Macaca mulatta: one gene and its partners. The protein of the gene in region 4 interacts with the protein of the main gene of each other region in a biochemical or structural test. Links are inferred from orthologs where the notes say so. Each region holds a gene or a part of one and is shown on either strand. Other genes may lie near its edges.

Evidence for each region. The genes of interacting proteins can lie anywhere in the genome.
Region 1: the proteins of SUMO2 (region 4) and CHD4 form a complex in vitro, tested with the Homo sapiens proteins (2 studies listed by BioGRID). The link is inferred for Macaca mulatta from reciprocal best matches to the Homo sapiens genes SUMO2 and CHD4.
Region 2: the proteins of SUMO2 (region 4) and CHD3 form a complex in vitro, tested with the Homo sapiens proteins (2 studies listed by BioGRID, with this or other methods). The link is inferred for Macaca mulatta from reciprocal best matches to the Homo sapiens genes SUMO2 and CHD3.
Region 3: the proteins of SUMO2 (region 4) and PFKM form a complex in vitro, tested with the Homo sapiens proteins (2 studies listed by BioGRID). The link is inferred for Macaca mulatta from reciprocal best matches to the Homo sapiens genes SUMO2 and PFKM.

What each region holds. Positions count from the first base shown.
Region 1 is NC_133416.1:7,550,682-7,554,198, reverse strand, and holds part of CHD4 (chromodomain-helicase-DNA-binding protein 4), read left to right. Parts: intron 1-171; coding exon 172-299; intron 300-555; coding exon 556-691; intron 692-828; coding exon 829-1,007; intron 1,008-1,211; coding exon 1,212-1,451; intron 1,452-3,116; coding exon 3,117-3,320; intron 3,321-3,442; coding exon 3,443-3,517. UniProt on the Homo sapiens protein: ATP-dependent chromatin-remodeling factor that binds and distorts nucleosomal DNA. Acts as a component of the histone deacetylase NuRD complex which participates in the remodeling of chromatin.
Region 2 is NC_133421.1:9,412,982-9,416,498, forward strand, and holds part of CHD3 (chromodomain-helicase-DNA-binding protein 3), read left to right. Parts: intron 1-112; coding exon 113-246; intron 247-378; exon of another isoform or gene 379-517; intron 518-807; coding exon 808-952; intron 953-1,123; coding exon 1,124-1,286; intron 1,287-1,380; coding exon 1,381-1,502; intron 1,503-1,607; coding exon 1,608-1,743; intron 1,744-1,855; coding exon 1,856-1,957; intron 1,958-2,144; coding exon of another isoform or gene 2,145-2,147; coding exon 2,148-2,273; intron 2,274-2,665; coding exon 2,666-2,774; intron 2,775-2,965; coding exon 2,966-3,098; intron 3,099-3,415; coding exon 3,416-3,517.
Region 3 is NC_133416.1:55,251,461-55,254,977, forward strand, and holds part of PFKM (ATP-dependent 6-phosphofructokinase, muscle type), read left to right. Parts: intron 1-978; coding exon 979-1,043; intron 1,044-1,538; coding exon 1,539-1,602; coding exon of another isoform or gene 1,603-1,608; intron 1,609-2,403; coding exon 2,404-2,553; intron 2,554-3,012; coding exon 3,013-3,083; intron 3,084-3,442; coding exon 3,443-3,517. UniProt on the Homo sapiens protein: Catalyzes the phosphorylation of D-fructose 6-phosphate to fructose 1,6-bisphosphate by ATP, the first committing step of glycolysis.
Region 4 is NC_133421.1:84,873,413-84,877,570, reverse strand, and holds the start of SUMO2 (small ubiquitin-related modifier 2), read left to right. Parts: upstream 1-1,358; 5' UTR 1,359-1,487; coding exon 1,488-1,508; intron 1,509-3,122; coding exon 3,123-3,254; intron 3,255-4,158. UniProt on the Homo sapiens protein: Ubiquitin-like protein that can be covalently attached to proteins as a monomer or as a lysine-linked polymer.

The DNA of each region.
Region 1 (3,517 bases), on a different chromosome or scaffold from region 4:
TGTCAAAGACAGAGCATGGGAATGGTGTTCTGTCAGCCCTAAGGTAGGAGATAGGAGGGAGGAGTGAGTCTTGAATTTTGGAGGGAAGTTTGGGCATCTGAATGTGGGGAAGATCTTTTCCCATCTTTGGTGATGTGGTATTTTATATATTTGGATGTATCCTGATTTTAGGTCCCAATGCTCGGAGGAAGCCCAAGGGCAGCCCTCGTGTACCTGATGCCAAGAAGCCTAAACCCAAGAAAGTAGCTCCCCTGAAAATCAAGCTGGGAGGTTTTGGTTCTAAGCGTAAGAGATCCTCGGTGAGAGCCCAGCCCATCACTTTAGGGAGGGTGCCATGTATACTAGAAAGGATGTGACCTTATATCAGGACCTGTCCTTCATAGTAGGCACATAAGAATGTGGGGAGTTACCCACAGAACAGGATGAGACTCGGCTCCCTGTATAACAGTGCTTGCTGAGATTCTGGTATCCTCAGTGAGAGAGCACTCCCTTGTCTGCCACTCTTTCCTTCCCCTTGGCTTGAATGTCTAACCTTATTCTTTTTCATCCTGTCAGAGTGAGGATGATGACTTAGATGTGGAATCTGACTTCGATGATGCCAGTATCAATAGCTATTCTGTTTCTGATGGTTCCACCAGCCGTAGTAGCCGCAGCCGCAAGAAACTCCGAACCACTAAAAAGAAAAAGAAAGGTGTGTTTCTTTTCTGTATATTTGTGATGGGATGAGGTGGGAGTGATTGGGGAAGAATCTCCCTAAGGAGATAGGGGTTGGGGGTGGGGGGAGGTAGTTTTTTTCTAATAACTGGGCTTTCCCTCTTCCTTGCCCAGGCGAGGAGGAGGTGACTGCTGTGGATGGTTATGAGACAGACCACCAGGACTATTGCGAGGTGTGCCAGCAAGGCGGTGAGATCATCCTGTGTGATACCTGTCCCCGAGCTTACCACATGGTTTGCCTGGATCCCGACATGGAGAAGGCTCCTGAGGGCAAGTGGAGCTGCCCACACTGCGTGAGTGTCTGGCCATTGTGGCCCCTTGGAACTCATGAGAAGAAGGGTGGGACAGTAAAGCTCTTTGGGGCCTGGATGGAAATCGAAATGCTGGTGCTGCGGGTTGTGAGCTTTGGGAAGCATTCAAAGGAATGATGGGTACTGGCTTCAGACTTCGGTGGGTGGGTGGGGGTAATAATCTGAATCTGTGGTCGTTTACTGCAGGAGAAGGAAGGCATCCAGTGGGAAGCTAAAGAGGACAATTCGGAGGGTGAGGAGATCCTGGAAGAGGTTGGGGGAGACCTCGAAGAGGAGGATGACCACCATATGGAATTCTGTCGGGTCTGCAAGGATGGTGGGGAGCTGCTCTGCTGCGATACCTGTCCTTCTTCCTACCATATCCACTGCCTGAATCCCCCACTTCCAGAGATCCCCAACGGTGAATGGCTCTGTCCCCGTTGTACGGTGAGTGACTGATCTCAGCCAGGGCAATAGATGTGGAAAGTGTAGTCTTTTCTATGTAGGGTATTGTGAAGCTGGGGTGCGGGAGAGGAACTGTGCGCTTTTCAACCCTGAGAAAGGTGTTTTCCTTTATCCTATAGTGTTGGGATACTTTTGTCCTGGGAAAATGTAGGACTGACTTCAAACAGAGGAGTTGATGTTTTGCCAGCTCTCTGAAGAGGAGATGAAGCAATGTTCTTCTAGCTGAGAACATGTGTCTCTGTGTTGACACCCTGCCTCAGGGTCTTGGTAGCTTACAATGTTTTTAATTTTTTTGTTAAAAAACTTTTTTTTTGGAGACAGGGTCTCACTCTGTCATCCAGGCTAGAGTGCAGTGGTGCAGTCATAGCTCATTGCAACCTCCAACTCTTGAGCTCAAGTGATCCTCCTATCTCAGCCTCTTGCTGAGTAGCTAGGAGTACTGGTGCATGCCACCACATCCAGCTAATTAAAAAAAAAAAATCTGGCCGGGCGCGGTGGCTCAAGCCTGTAATCCCAGCACTTTGGGAGGCCGAGACGGGCGGATCACGAGGTCAGGAGATCGAGACCATCCTGGCTAACACGGTGAAACCCCGTCTCTACTAAAAAATACAAAAAACTAGCCGGGCGAGGTGGCGGGCGCCTGTAGTCCCAGCTACTCGGGAGGCTGAGGCAGGAGAATGGTCTAAACCCGGGAGGCGGAGCTTGCAGTGAGCTGAGATCCGGCCACTGCACCCCAGCCTGGGCGACAGAGCAAGACTCTGTCTCAAAAAAAAAAAAAAAAAAAAAAATCTTTGTAGAGACAGGGTCTCACTATGTTGCCTAGGCTGGTCTTGAACTCCTGCTCTGAAACTATTCTGCTCTCTTGTCCTCCCTAAGTGCTGGCATTACAGGTGTGTACCACCGTGCCAGCCAGTTTAGAATGTTTAATAGGGCCACTTACTGCTTTTAGATTGCTTAAGGGAGGAATTCTGTGCTTTAAGTCTGTTGATTTCCTGATTCTTTTGGCTGCTTGTTGAAGTCTTAACTACTGGCTTTGTTAAGCGGATAGGAGTGATAGTGGCATGGAAATCCTGGATGATGTCCAGAAATGAAGAGAGAATTGTATCACAGGTTAGGATTAGATAGGTATCTAATCCAGAAGTGGGAAATCCAAAATACTTCTGGTCCCAAGCATTTCACATGAGAGGTCCTCAACCTGTATTCTCTCCCTGGAGGAGTCCTGGGATTAGATTTTATTTGAAATGAGATCTTTTTGTTTTTTTGAGACGGAGTCTCTCTCTGTCCTGTCCCTTAGGCTGGAATGCAGTGGGGCAATCTTGGCTCACTACAACCTCTGCCTCCCAGGTTCAAGTGATTCTCCTGCCTCAGCCCTCCGAGTAGCTGGAACTACAGGCGCGTGCCACAATGCCCAGCTAATTTTTGTGTTTTTAGTAGAGACAGGGTTTCACCATGTTAGCCAGGATGGTCTCGATCTCTTGACCTCGTGATCTGCCCGCCTCGGCCTCCCGAAGTGCTGGGATTACAGGCATGAGCCACTGCTCCAGGCCTGAAATGAGATCTTAATCGTCCTTTGATAAAGTTGAGACTGTGGGCTGTCCCTTCTCCCATGGTTACGATTTGAGATTAAGTTGTCTCTTTTTCCCTCAGTGTCCAGCTCTGAAGGGCAAAGTGCAGAAGATCCTAATCTGGAAGTGGGGTCAGCCACCATCTCCCACACCAGTGCCTCGGCCTCCAGATGCTGATCCCAACACGCCCTCCCCAAAGCCCTTGGAGGGGCGGCCAGAGCGGCAGTTCTTTGTGAAATGGCAAGGCATGTCTTACTGGCACTGCTCCTGGGTTTCTGAATTGCAGGTAAGTTGAGGATAGGCTGGAGATGTAGGGGCTACGATGAATAGGATAGTGGTAAAAGAGCCTTGTGGATAGAAAGAATGAACACAGCTTCTTGGTGGCTGATTTTCTCTTTCCGCTCCAAGCTGGAGCTGCACTGTCAGGTGATGTTCCGAAACTATCAGCGGAAGAATGATATGGATGAGCCACCTTCTGGGGAC
Region 2 (3,517 bases), about 75 Mb from region 4:
GAGCATGAGGGCAGAAGGTTGGAAATTGGGGCCTGGATCACTGAGGGTAGAAAGGACAAGACCTAAGAACCCTGGACATTTGTCGCCATTGCCTCCTTGCCCCCACCCTCAGGTGCTGGGCTTCAATACCCGTCAGCGGAAGGCTTTCCTCAATGCCGTGATGCGCTGGGGGATGCCACCACAGGATGCCTTCACCACGCAGTGGCTGGTGCGGGACCTGAGGGGCAAGACTGAGAAGGAGTTTAAGTGAGTGTGGGTGATACAGGGCTGAGTTGGACGCAAGGGTAAGAGCTTTGGGTGTTCCATTCTTCCTTGGGGCCGCCATATGATGTGACCTTACTCAACTGATTGTCACCCTCCCTGCCATACAACGCTTCCTGGCTCGATTTCCTGGGGGGTGGTCTCAGCCCACCCCACCTCCCCTCAGCCGAGCCTAGAGTAGAGGGGCCAGGCATTCTCCCCAGGGGAGAGGTGTTGAAGCAAGGAACCTCTCCTGGGCTGTCCTAGCCTCACATTTACTTGGCCACAATCACCTGGCAGGAGGAGCTGGTGGAAAGGATGAAGAGCTGACTGATGGGGCCCAGGAATTAAGTACCAAGGCCAAGGGGATAGGCCAGGGATGGGGCGCAGGGGCACGGTTAGGACTTGGAGGGCTGGTAATGGTGAGAGTGAGAGGCCCAGGGGAGGAGCCCTGGAGCATCTGGGGATTTGGGGACTTGGGGGTCCTCAGTCATCCTTGCATCTTCCTCACTGCCCTATACCCCTTCTGTGGCTTCCCTAACCGTCCTCCCACCCCATGCTTCTTAGGGCCTATGTATCTTTGTTCATGCGCCATCTGTGTGAGCCTGGGGCAGACGGCTCTGAAACCTTTGCCGATGGGGTCCCTCGGGAGGGACTGAGTCGCCAGCAGGTGTTGACCCGCATTGGAGTCATGTCTCTCGTCAAGAAGAAGGTATCAGTCTTCCTCTCACCCAAAAAATCAAGCTGGCTGCCTAGTCTCTGTCCTTCCTCTGCCTCTGTCCCTGAGTTGTAAGCTCGCGCTGGTGTGAGACGGAGGAGACTGGAGTTTCCTGTCTGTATGTCTGTAAGTGCCTGGAGCTGACACCTGTCCTTCCCACCCCAGGTGCAGGAGTTTGAGCACATCAATGGGCGTTGGTCAATGCCGGAACTGATGCCCGACCCCAGCGCTGACTCTAAGCGCTCCTCCAGAGCCTCCTCTCCTACCAAAACGTCTCCCACCACTCCTGAGGCTTCTGCTACCAACAGTCCCTGCACCTCTAAACCTGGTAATCAGAAATCAGGATGGTGGGAGAGACAGAAAGGGAGCCAGGAGTCGGGGCAAGAGAACCTCTGTCTTTATCACTGTGCCTTCCCCTGCAGCTACTCCAGCTCCAAGTGAGAAAGGAGAAGGCATAAGGACTCCTCTTGAGAAGGAGGAAGCTGAAAACCAGGAGGAGAAGCCAGAGAAGAACAGCAGAATTGGGGAGAAGATGGACACAGAGGTGTGTGGCTCCCTGGATTCCCCTGTGGAGTGGGAGGGGAGGGGGCTTGGAGGCCAGATGCCTGGGAGCCCTCCAGCTCATCCTGACCCCATTGTCCTCTTACAGGTTGATGCCCCCAGCCCAGCCCCATCACTCGGGGAGCGGCTGGAGCCAAGGAAGATTCCTCTAGAGGATGAGGTGCCAGGGGTACCTGGAGAGATGGAGCTTGAACCTGGGTACCGTGGGGACAGAGAGAAGTCAGGTGGGTGCATGGCCTTAGGAGTGATGGGGGATTAGAATTTGGGATGTCCCTCTTCTGGGGTCAGAGGATGAGGGTAACATCCTCCCTTCCTATCCCCTACCCCCTCCCACAGCCACAGAGTCGACGCCAGGAGAAAGGGGGGAGGAGAAGCCGATGGATGGACAGGAACACAGGGAGAGGCCGGAGGGGGAAGCAGGGGATTTGGGCAAGAGAGGTAATGGGTGGAAGGACCGGACACCTGGGTCCCTGAGGGCATCAGGGGAGGTGGAGTCTGGGGAACCAAATGCTTGGGTCCTGGGCGGGTAGCTGTTTGAAAGGCCAGGACAGCACAGTACAGATAGTAGTCTTGGGACCTGGGAGGAGGGTGTCCTGAGGTGTGAGCTTTCACCTGTCTGTCCTAGCAGAAGATGTAAAAGGTGACCGGGAGCTTCGACCAGGGCCTCGAGATGAGCCACGGTCCAATGGGCGACGAGAGGAAAAGACAGAGAAGCCCCGGTTCATGTTCAATATCGCAGATGGTGGCTTCACAGGTTGGGGAGACTCTCGCTGCTTTCTGCTCCTCAAGGGGATCTGCTCATCCTCATGGGGTTTCTCGTTTTGCCTGAGGCTTCCTGCTACCTTTAATTCCAAGTAACTTCCAATGAAGTATGTTGCATGCTGACTCCGATCCTTGCTCTAAATCTTTCTTAAGTATCCCTCTTAACTCCAAAGCTGGCTCTAATCCCACCTTTATTCTTAATTCTAACTCGAACCTGGTTAGTAACGGAGTTTGTTCCGAACTCCTAACCTAACCTTTACCCATTCCTCTTCAGGAGCCCTTAGTTCCCTTTCATTATTCAGTTTCCCCATCTGTACCTGTCTGTTGGACTGAGTGCAGTCTGCAAACCCTTGTTGCTTCTTCTGTCTGCTGCCGCCTTTGCAGAGCTTCACACACTGTGGCAGAATGAGGAACGGGCAGCTATTTCCTCAGGCAAACTCAATGAGATCTGGCACAGAAGACACGACTACTGGCTTCTGGCTGGGATTGTCCTGTATCCTTTGACACACGTGCAAGAAGGAAAAGGTTCTCTCAAGCTGGAAAAAAAAAAAAAAGGATGATGATTTCACACCCAGGGACAGGGCTACTGCCACACTTTGGGGAGTCAGGCCAAAAGGAAGAAGTGTTCAAAGCCAAGCCCATTCCTGTTAAATTCCTTGATGGTTCCCTTTCCTTCATTGGTAGCCATGGCTATGCACGGTGGCAGGACATCCAGAATGATGCTCAATTTGCCATTATCAACGAGCCATTTAAAACTGAAGCCAATAAGGGGAACTTTCTGGAGATGAAAAATAAGTTCCTGGCCCGGAGGTTCAAGGTGGGAATGAGGGAGGACAGGAACGGGTTTTAGACGGGCTTGGGTCAGAAGTGAGGCCAGATCTAGTTGGAACCTAGGGAAGGTTAACACCTTCAGGGCTGAGGTGATGCTTGGAGCCAAGACCAAAGTGTAACCTTGTGCTTGGGAGTGTGGTCTGGGTCAGGGTTGATGCTAGGTTCGCAGTTGGTTTGGAGCTAGGAGTGCTCTGGGCCAGCAGTGAGGGCAGGGTGGGTCTCCTGCTATGTCCAGTCCCCCCACCCGCCACTCACTCACTGCTGGCAGAGCCCTGCCTTCACCTCCCAACCCTGTGCCCTCAGCTCCTGGAGCAGGCGCTGGTGATTGAGGAGCAGCTGCGGCGGGCGGCCTACCTGAACCTGTCGCAGGAGCCGGCGCACCCCGCCATGGCCCTCCACGCCCGC
Region 3 (3,517 bases), on a different chromosome or scaffold from region 4:
TGATGCAGTACCTAGCAAATGTTGAGTGCTCAGGAAATGGTGGCCTTTATTATGAAGGAATCACTCCTTTGATACCACAGAGTGAACATGGTGGCTGGGAGGCTGGGAGCGAGAGCTAGGGTATCTGGCCTGGTTCTGAGGGCTGGTCTAAATGCTCCGCTTCTTCTGGCCTCCTCCTCTCTGAGACCCAGGAGTCCCAGTGACCTGCAGCCTTGCTTGGAAATGTATCTGTGAAAGCTCCAAAGCGAAGGCACTGGCCCACAGAGCTGAAATCAGTAGTTGAGAAGCACACAGCAGGGATCAGTCCTTCTTCCTAACTTGGTTACCTGTAGGATCTTCATTTACTCATGACTTTAGAGGCTGCTTTAAGGCTGGGGACCTGGGTGTGGAATGGAAGATACTATTTATCTGTGAGCATTCTTCCACTCTACCCATACTTCTAATAAACAGAGCATAGTTCTGAGCACAGTGGCTCACACCTGTAATCCCAGCACTTTGGGAGGTCAAGGCAGGCAGATCACAAGGTCAGGAGATCGAGACCATCCTGGCTAACATGGTGAAAAATACCAAAAAAAATTAGCTGGGTGTGGTGGCACACTCCTATAATCCCAGCCTCTCGGGAGGCTGAGGCAGGAGAATCGCTTGAACCCAGGAGGCAGGGGGTTGCAGTGAGCCAAGATCGCACCACTGCACTCCAGCCTGGGCGACAGAGCAAGACTCCGTCTCAAAAAAATAAAAATTAAAATAAAATAAACAGAGCATAGAATCAGTTCTTTTCTTTTGCTGCTCATTACTCAGAAAACTCAGGAAAAAACAAAAATACTTCTGTGAAAGTTTGGGGGCATAGGAAAGGTGGGGTATAGAATGGGCAGAATCTAGTCACAATCCCAGAGATGGGCAGAGTTTGACTGTGGGATGGAAATTCAGCTGTGCAGAATTGTGACCCTGGAGTTGAAACTGTCACTGCTCCCCCCTCAGACCAAAGATGTGACCAAGGCCATGGAAGAGAAGAAATTTGATGAAGCCCTGAAGTTGAGAGGCCGGTGAGGAAACGACGGGAAGCTCACTAGCTACAGAAATCAGATGCCTGAAGTCAAAGATCTCCATGACTCCAGGCCCAGAACATAAGCTTCTGCTGCTTCCTTTTCTGATTCTCTCTGCAGCAAGTTCTTGCCCAAGAAAGTTAGTTGTCAGGTGTCTGGAAGGATCAGTTCATCTCAGGGATGTGGTCCCTGGCATCAACCTTTTATAATCTGTTATTTCTATATGTGAGCCCCAGCTAGATGATAAGTTCCTTTAAGCAAGGGACAGTCTCTTGTGCCGAGCACAGTGCCTGGAGAAGAGTACTGAGCGAGTGTTGGATGAACTAGTGGCCCCTTTGCAGACCCTGCCCTGTCCCTGCTCTGCCCCAGTTCTGTCCTCAGAGGTTTGCCCTATGGAACTTCCCTCTGGGAGCAAAACTTCAGACCAGGATCCCCATGGCTGCTGGCTGTGGGGAATGGCCTGAAGACACCTTTCTCTATTTGTACTTCCTACAGGAGCTTCATGAACAACTGGGAGGTATACAAGCTTCTAGCTCATGTCAGACCCCCGGTATCTAAGGTACTGGCAAGTTGACTTGCCCTCTCCCCTTTTGCTTCTCACTCCCCCAGTCTCTCTTCATAAAGTGCTACCACAGTCCATACAACGTAAACCTTGCCAACTTCTCTGCCCCACTCTGATCTTCAGTGCTGGGTCCCTGGCCCTATTATTATGATTTTCTCTTAACCACCCCAGATACCAGCCCCCTTTTTAGTGTATCCTGGATATCTCTAACACAAGACCCATGCCCACTTCAGGACTGGCAAGATAGCATGCAAAGAATGGGAAAGAGAGCTTATGTACTTTTTCTCTGGGAATATCTAGGAATAATCACATCTAAGTGTATCTGAGCCACCTCTTCCATTGGAGTCGTGGTTGTCATTATTGAGTATATTATCAGAATTGTTTGGGTTGCTTATTAAACTTGCAAACTCCTGGGCCCCTCTCTCAGAGGAGATTCATATCTGGGTAGAGGCCAGGAATGTGCAGGTTTAACAGGCTCCCCCAGTGGATTCTGATGCAGGTGATCCAAGGATCACACTTTGGTAAGTGCTGCTCTGGAAGGTCTCTCATTGTATAATGTTGATATCTGAGATGGGGGACAGCAGCTTTGTTTATTGATCTGTGATCAAGAATTTTGCTTCCATAGTATGTGGTAGCAAGTTGTGCTGGCATTCCTTGGGAGAGGGGTGTGTGTTGTCTCAGGCAGATGTCCTGATCCCTGGATGACAAGGGTTCAGAGCTCTGCCTCCTTTACTGACCTCCTCCCTATTCCCACACTGGGTTTCTGTCCTCCTTTTTCCCCTGCTTCCTCCTGTATAGAGTGGTTCGCACACAGTGGCTGTGATGAATGTGGGGGCTCCGGCTGCAGGCATGAATGCTGCTGTTCGCTCCACTGTGAGGATTGGACTTATCCAGGGCAACCGAGTGCTCGTTGTCCATGATGGTTTCGAGGGCCTGGCCAAGGGGCAGGTATGGAGACTAAAAGGAAGAAGGGCACATATTCTAGGACCCAGGAGCAGTCATAGGGAAGATAAGTGTAGCAAGAATGACCTGTCCATTCTCTTGGCTTCCTCTGTTCCTCACTACCTCTCTCTCCTCTCTCAGGGTCCAGGCAGAAGTAGATATTTAATGTTAGGGCAGTAGGAACAGGCAGGAATTACTGGAATGCACCATTGCAAACAACATGTTCTATTTAATTCTCTATCCCAAAGCTCAGCACAGTGCCTGGCATAGGTAGATGCTTAATATTGGTGAATGAGCAGTAAGGGTAGAAGAAGTTCAGTGCATGGGGAAAAGCTAATACCTGGTGTACCTCTTCCAACCAAGGGGGATCCAGGGGTGGGGTTAGAACTCAAGCAGTGGCACCAGTCCCACACAGGCCTCCTAGTGCTTTAGCTTTGAGCAGAGCTCTGTGGCTTTTCCCCACAGATAGAGGAAGCTGGCTGGAGCTATGTTGGGGGCTGGACTGGCCAAGGTGGCTCTAAACTTGGGACTAAAAGGTAAGTAGTACTGCAGAGGCACCTCCTCCCAGTGACCTCTTCAAGTTGCCCTTGGATTTGGGTGTCAATTCATTATGCCAGGGTCTGCTTCAACCACCCTGTTGTCTGGGTCCTCCACCCCCAACTTCACAGTTGCTGCCATGAGGGCAGACATGCCCATCTCAACATCTTTCAGCAGCTCTGGCAATTTAGAACTCCAGTGTGTATCCTTGGATAGGACTGAGAGGGTGGGCTAGGGAGTGGGGCACAGGTCAAGAAATTAAAAATAAAGTGCCTCTAACTCTAGCTTTTCTCTCCCTCAATTTTCCTGTCTCTTCCACAAATTCCCATTCCTGTCCCCCCCATCACTGGTCAACTAGGACTCTACCCAAGAAGAGCTTTGAACAGATCAGTGCCAATATAACTAAGTTTAACATTCAGGGCCTTGTCATCAT
Region 4 (4,158 bases):
TGACAAACTGAGAAGCATACTGGATTCAGCAAAGAAGTCTGCGGTGACCTTGTGGAGAGCAGTTTTAGTGGAACTTTGGGGACAGCACCAGATTGCAGTGGGTTGAGGAGTGAGTGGGAGGGGAGGGGTTGGAGACAGCTGGCAGGGACATTTTTTCAAGCTGTTTGGCCAAGAATGGAGAGAGATAGGATGGTAACTTAATAGAATTGAGAGCTTCTTCTTTTTTTTTTTTTTTTTCTATACTAACGGAGGAGAGGAAGAAAATTCAGGGACAAAAGCAAATAATAAAGCCCAGGGGGAGGAGCAAGATGGAATCCAGTGCACACACTGGATTGTTCTTCAGACAGGAGGGATGCATGTCTATGTTTTAACTGGATGCAAGGAGGAAATGATTAAATTGGCTGGAAGCTTGATTGTTGGGTAGTTCTCGCTTAAGGATACTGTTTCCTCTTGGAAGATAGGCGATGAGTAAGGAGTTCGTTGAATGAATACACGAACATTTTCCCGTAGCTAGTCAAAGTCTAGGGTTACCAGCAGGACAGAAGAAGACACTGCAGGCCGGGTATGGTGGCTCACGCCTGTAATCCCAGTACTTTGGGAGGCCGAGGCGGGCGGATCACGAGGTCAGAAGACCGAGACCATCCTGGCTAACACGGGGAAACCTTGTCCCTACGAAAAATACAAAAAATTAGCCGGGTGTTGTGGCGTGCGCCTGTAATACCAGCTCCTCGGGAGGCTGAGGCAGGAGAATCGCTTGAACCTGGGAGGCAGAGGTTGCTGTGAGCCGAGATCGTGCCACTGCACTCCAGCCTGGGCAACAGAGCGAGACTCCGTCTCAAAAAAAAAAAAAAAAAAAAAGAAGAAGACACTGCATTTGAGGCAAGAGTCCGGTGGGAAGCAGGTTAAGACTGACTGAGAGGAAGTAACCATGGGAGGGCTGCTGGTCCACTGAAAGAGAGAGATTTTTCCAGAACCTCATGCTGGGGCTTTGATTTAGGAATCCCCTTCTTCCTCTAGTCAGTCAGCCTTCCCTGGCCTATGGCTCACGTCTAAAGCCTCGAGCCTCATCGTTCCCACCGAGGACCAGCTGGAAGCCATTTTGATTATGCTCCACCACGAAGGAGGACAATACAGCCCCGCCCAGAGCCAGGCGCGCCCCCGCGGCGGGCCGGGTGCGCGTGTCCGCGCTTCTTCCCGCCGGCCGGGCGGGCGCCTGGCCCAGGACGCGGTGGCGCGGGGCGGGGGGTGGGGGTGGTTATGTAAGCGTTGCGCGCTCCCGCGAGGCGCCAGCCAATGGGAGGCCCCGGCGGCTCGTGCTCGCGCACGCAGGGTGGGGGGAGGGAGCGCACGACGTGCGCGCACCCTCTCCCTCGTCCACCGCTGCCGCCTCCTTCTTCTGCCGCTCCTGGTGCTGCTTGTGTGCTCGTTTGGTGCGGACCTGGTACCTCTTTTGTGAAGCGGCAGCTGAGGAGACTCCGGCGCTCGCCATGGCCGACGAAAAGCCCAAGGTGAGCTCGGCGCCGGCCCCTTCGCCTCGCCGCGCGGTCGGGGTCAGGGCGCGGGCCGGGGTCCGGCCAGAGCTCGCCGCTGGCTCCCAGCGCCTTCCCGGGCCCCCCACAGGGCCGGCCGCAGCTCAGGCCCCGGCGCTCCGCGCCATTTTCCTCCCTCCCTCTCTTCCTCCCTCCCGCGCCGGAGGAGGCCCCGCCGCTCTCTCCCGCCCCCGGCGGCCTCCGAGTGCGCGCGGGGCGCGAGTTGGGCGGGCAGATCGCGGACGCCCGCGGGCCCACCAGCCCCGAACGGGGATTCTTGGCCCAGCCGTCCGGCGCGCGTGAGGAGGGGCGTTAGGGCGCGCGGGGTCTCCACCCTGCGCCGACCCCGCGTCGGGTGTTGCAGTCTCCGAGGCGGCGGGGAGTCCCCTGGGCTCGGGCTTCACCTCTCAGGGGTAGAAACCGCGGGCATCTGGGGACTCCTGCCCGGGGCGGCGGCGGCGGGGCGAGGGTTCGGGGCGAATCAATGGGCTGCTGATGAGCAGGAACCTGGATGCCCGCTGGCCGCCGTACTGGGCCTGGGGGTAGGGGGATTCCCGTGGAGTATTTCCCACTTTAATGGCCTCAGGGACCTGAGGGGGGAGGGGCAGCGGCTTTTCCCTGGGTGCCAACGAACCCCTAATCCGCGAAGACCATGTGGTTTCATGAAGTTGGAGGCACAGGTAGGAGCAGAGAGACTTTGTGCGGCTTAACTTTTGAATGCGGCTTTTGAGGCACCCGAAGACTTCCCGGGAGGACTGGGGGACACCCATCATCGGGGCACACGGGACTTGCTGCTTTTAGTTTGGTGACACCTCCCGCCTCTCGCGCCTTTACTTTCTGAAGCGTTTTAGGGCTACAGCATGCCTTCTACACTCGATTTTGGACAACTTTAGGTTGGGTCGAAATCTACAAGAAACACTTGGGATAAAACTGTGTATTTGACCCATGACAACAAAGGGGAGGGGAGAATAAGTGCTCTTAACCGAAGATAAAAATGAAGCTGCTAATAGAGGAGAACGTAACTGTGGTCCTGAGTATTACCGCTGTTCCGGAGGGAATCGGGATATTCTTCGATTTTTCGTGTGTGTGTTTACTTTAATGGAGATTGGATTTAGGTTATTAAACTGAGTTTGGTAACTTTTTAACGACAACGGTAATGAGTTTTGAATGGCAGGCTGTAGATTTATTGTTTTGTTTCTTGCAGTTGTACTTAAAGTGCTTAGAAAAGAGACTCTTATTTTTAACTTTTTTTGGGGGTAAAATATATATTTTGGGAGTGATATATGCCATTTTAGAAAGTTTAGCTTCAAGAGAACGTTCAATACACTGAATAGGACCCAACTTTAAACATGTATTGTTGTTACTGATAGTATTGCATGTAGGCTTTTCTGTATCTGACAGCTATCTAATACTGTTGCTGCAGGATTTCTCCTCTTTCACATTGATTTCAGCAGCTGAAAACAGCCGTATGCCGTTTTAGCATACCGTATGAGAAACCTGTTGATTTTTGAAGCAACTTAGGGCTGCTGCTGCTTTATAAAAGTGTGTGTTGATCACATTTCCCAAATTATACTTTTATTTTTCTTTTAACAGGAAGGAGTCAAGACTGAGAACAACGATCATATTAATTTGAAGGTGGCGGGGCAGGATGGTTCTGTGGTGCAGTTTAAGATTAAGAGGCATACACCACTTAGTAAACTAATGAAAGCCTATTGTGAACGACAGGTGAGGAATTCATATGTGTACTTCCACTGAATAAAACTATTTTTAAAAATCTTATTTTCATGGGAACAAAAACTAGCCTGGCATAATACTACAGTGACTTTTTGATGGGATGAATATGCACTTGTACTTGGCATGTCAGTTTTATCGTGCACTTGGTAGCTTGCTCATGAAAACCCTTAGGATGATTTGCTTAGTATTATATGTGGTTCCAGTCCTGTGCCAGAAATCCATCAAATTGTATTTACAATACTTGTTTTTTGGTTTTTTTTTTAACCAAGGAAATGTAATTTTATGTTTATAAGAAAGTAAGAGTGAACTTGGTAAAATTACTTAAGAGTCTTTTATTATTTTATTTTATTTTTTTGAGACGGAGTTTCATTCTTGTTGCTCAAGCTGAAGTACAGTGGCGTGAGCTCAGCTCACTGCAACTTCCACTTCCCGGGTTCAAGCAGTTTTCCTGCCTCAGCCTCCTGAGTAGCTGGGATTACAGGTGCCTGCCACCACGCTTGGCCAATTTTTTTTAGTATTTTTGGTAGAGATGGGGTTTCATCATATTGGCTAGGCTTGTCTCAAACTCCTGACCTCAGGTGATCCACCCGCCTCGGTCTTCCAAAGTGCTGGGATTACAAGCATGAGCCACTGCGCCAGACCAAGAAGTCTTTTTTTTTATTTTTTTTTTTGAGATGGGAGTCTTGCCGTATTTTTTTAAGCTAGAACTTATCTACCTTGTAAATCGTGGGGTTTTTTTTGTTTTTTTTTGGTTTTTTTTTGACAGAATCTTGTTCTATTGCCCAGGCTGGAGTGCAGTGGTTCAATCTCTGCTCACTGCAACCTCTGCCTCCTGAGTTGAAGCTATTCTTTTTTTTTTTTTTTTCCCCCCCGAGACGGAGTCTTGCTCTGTCGC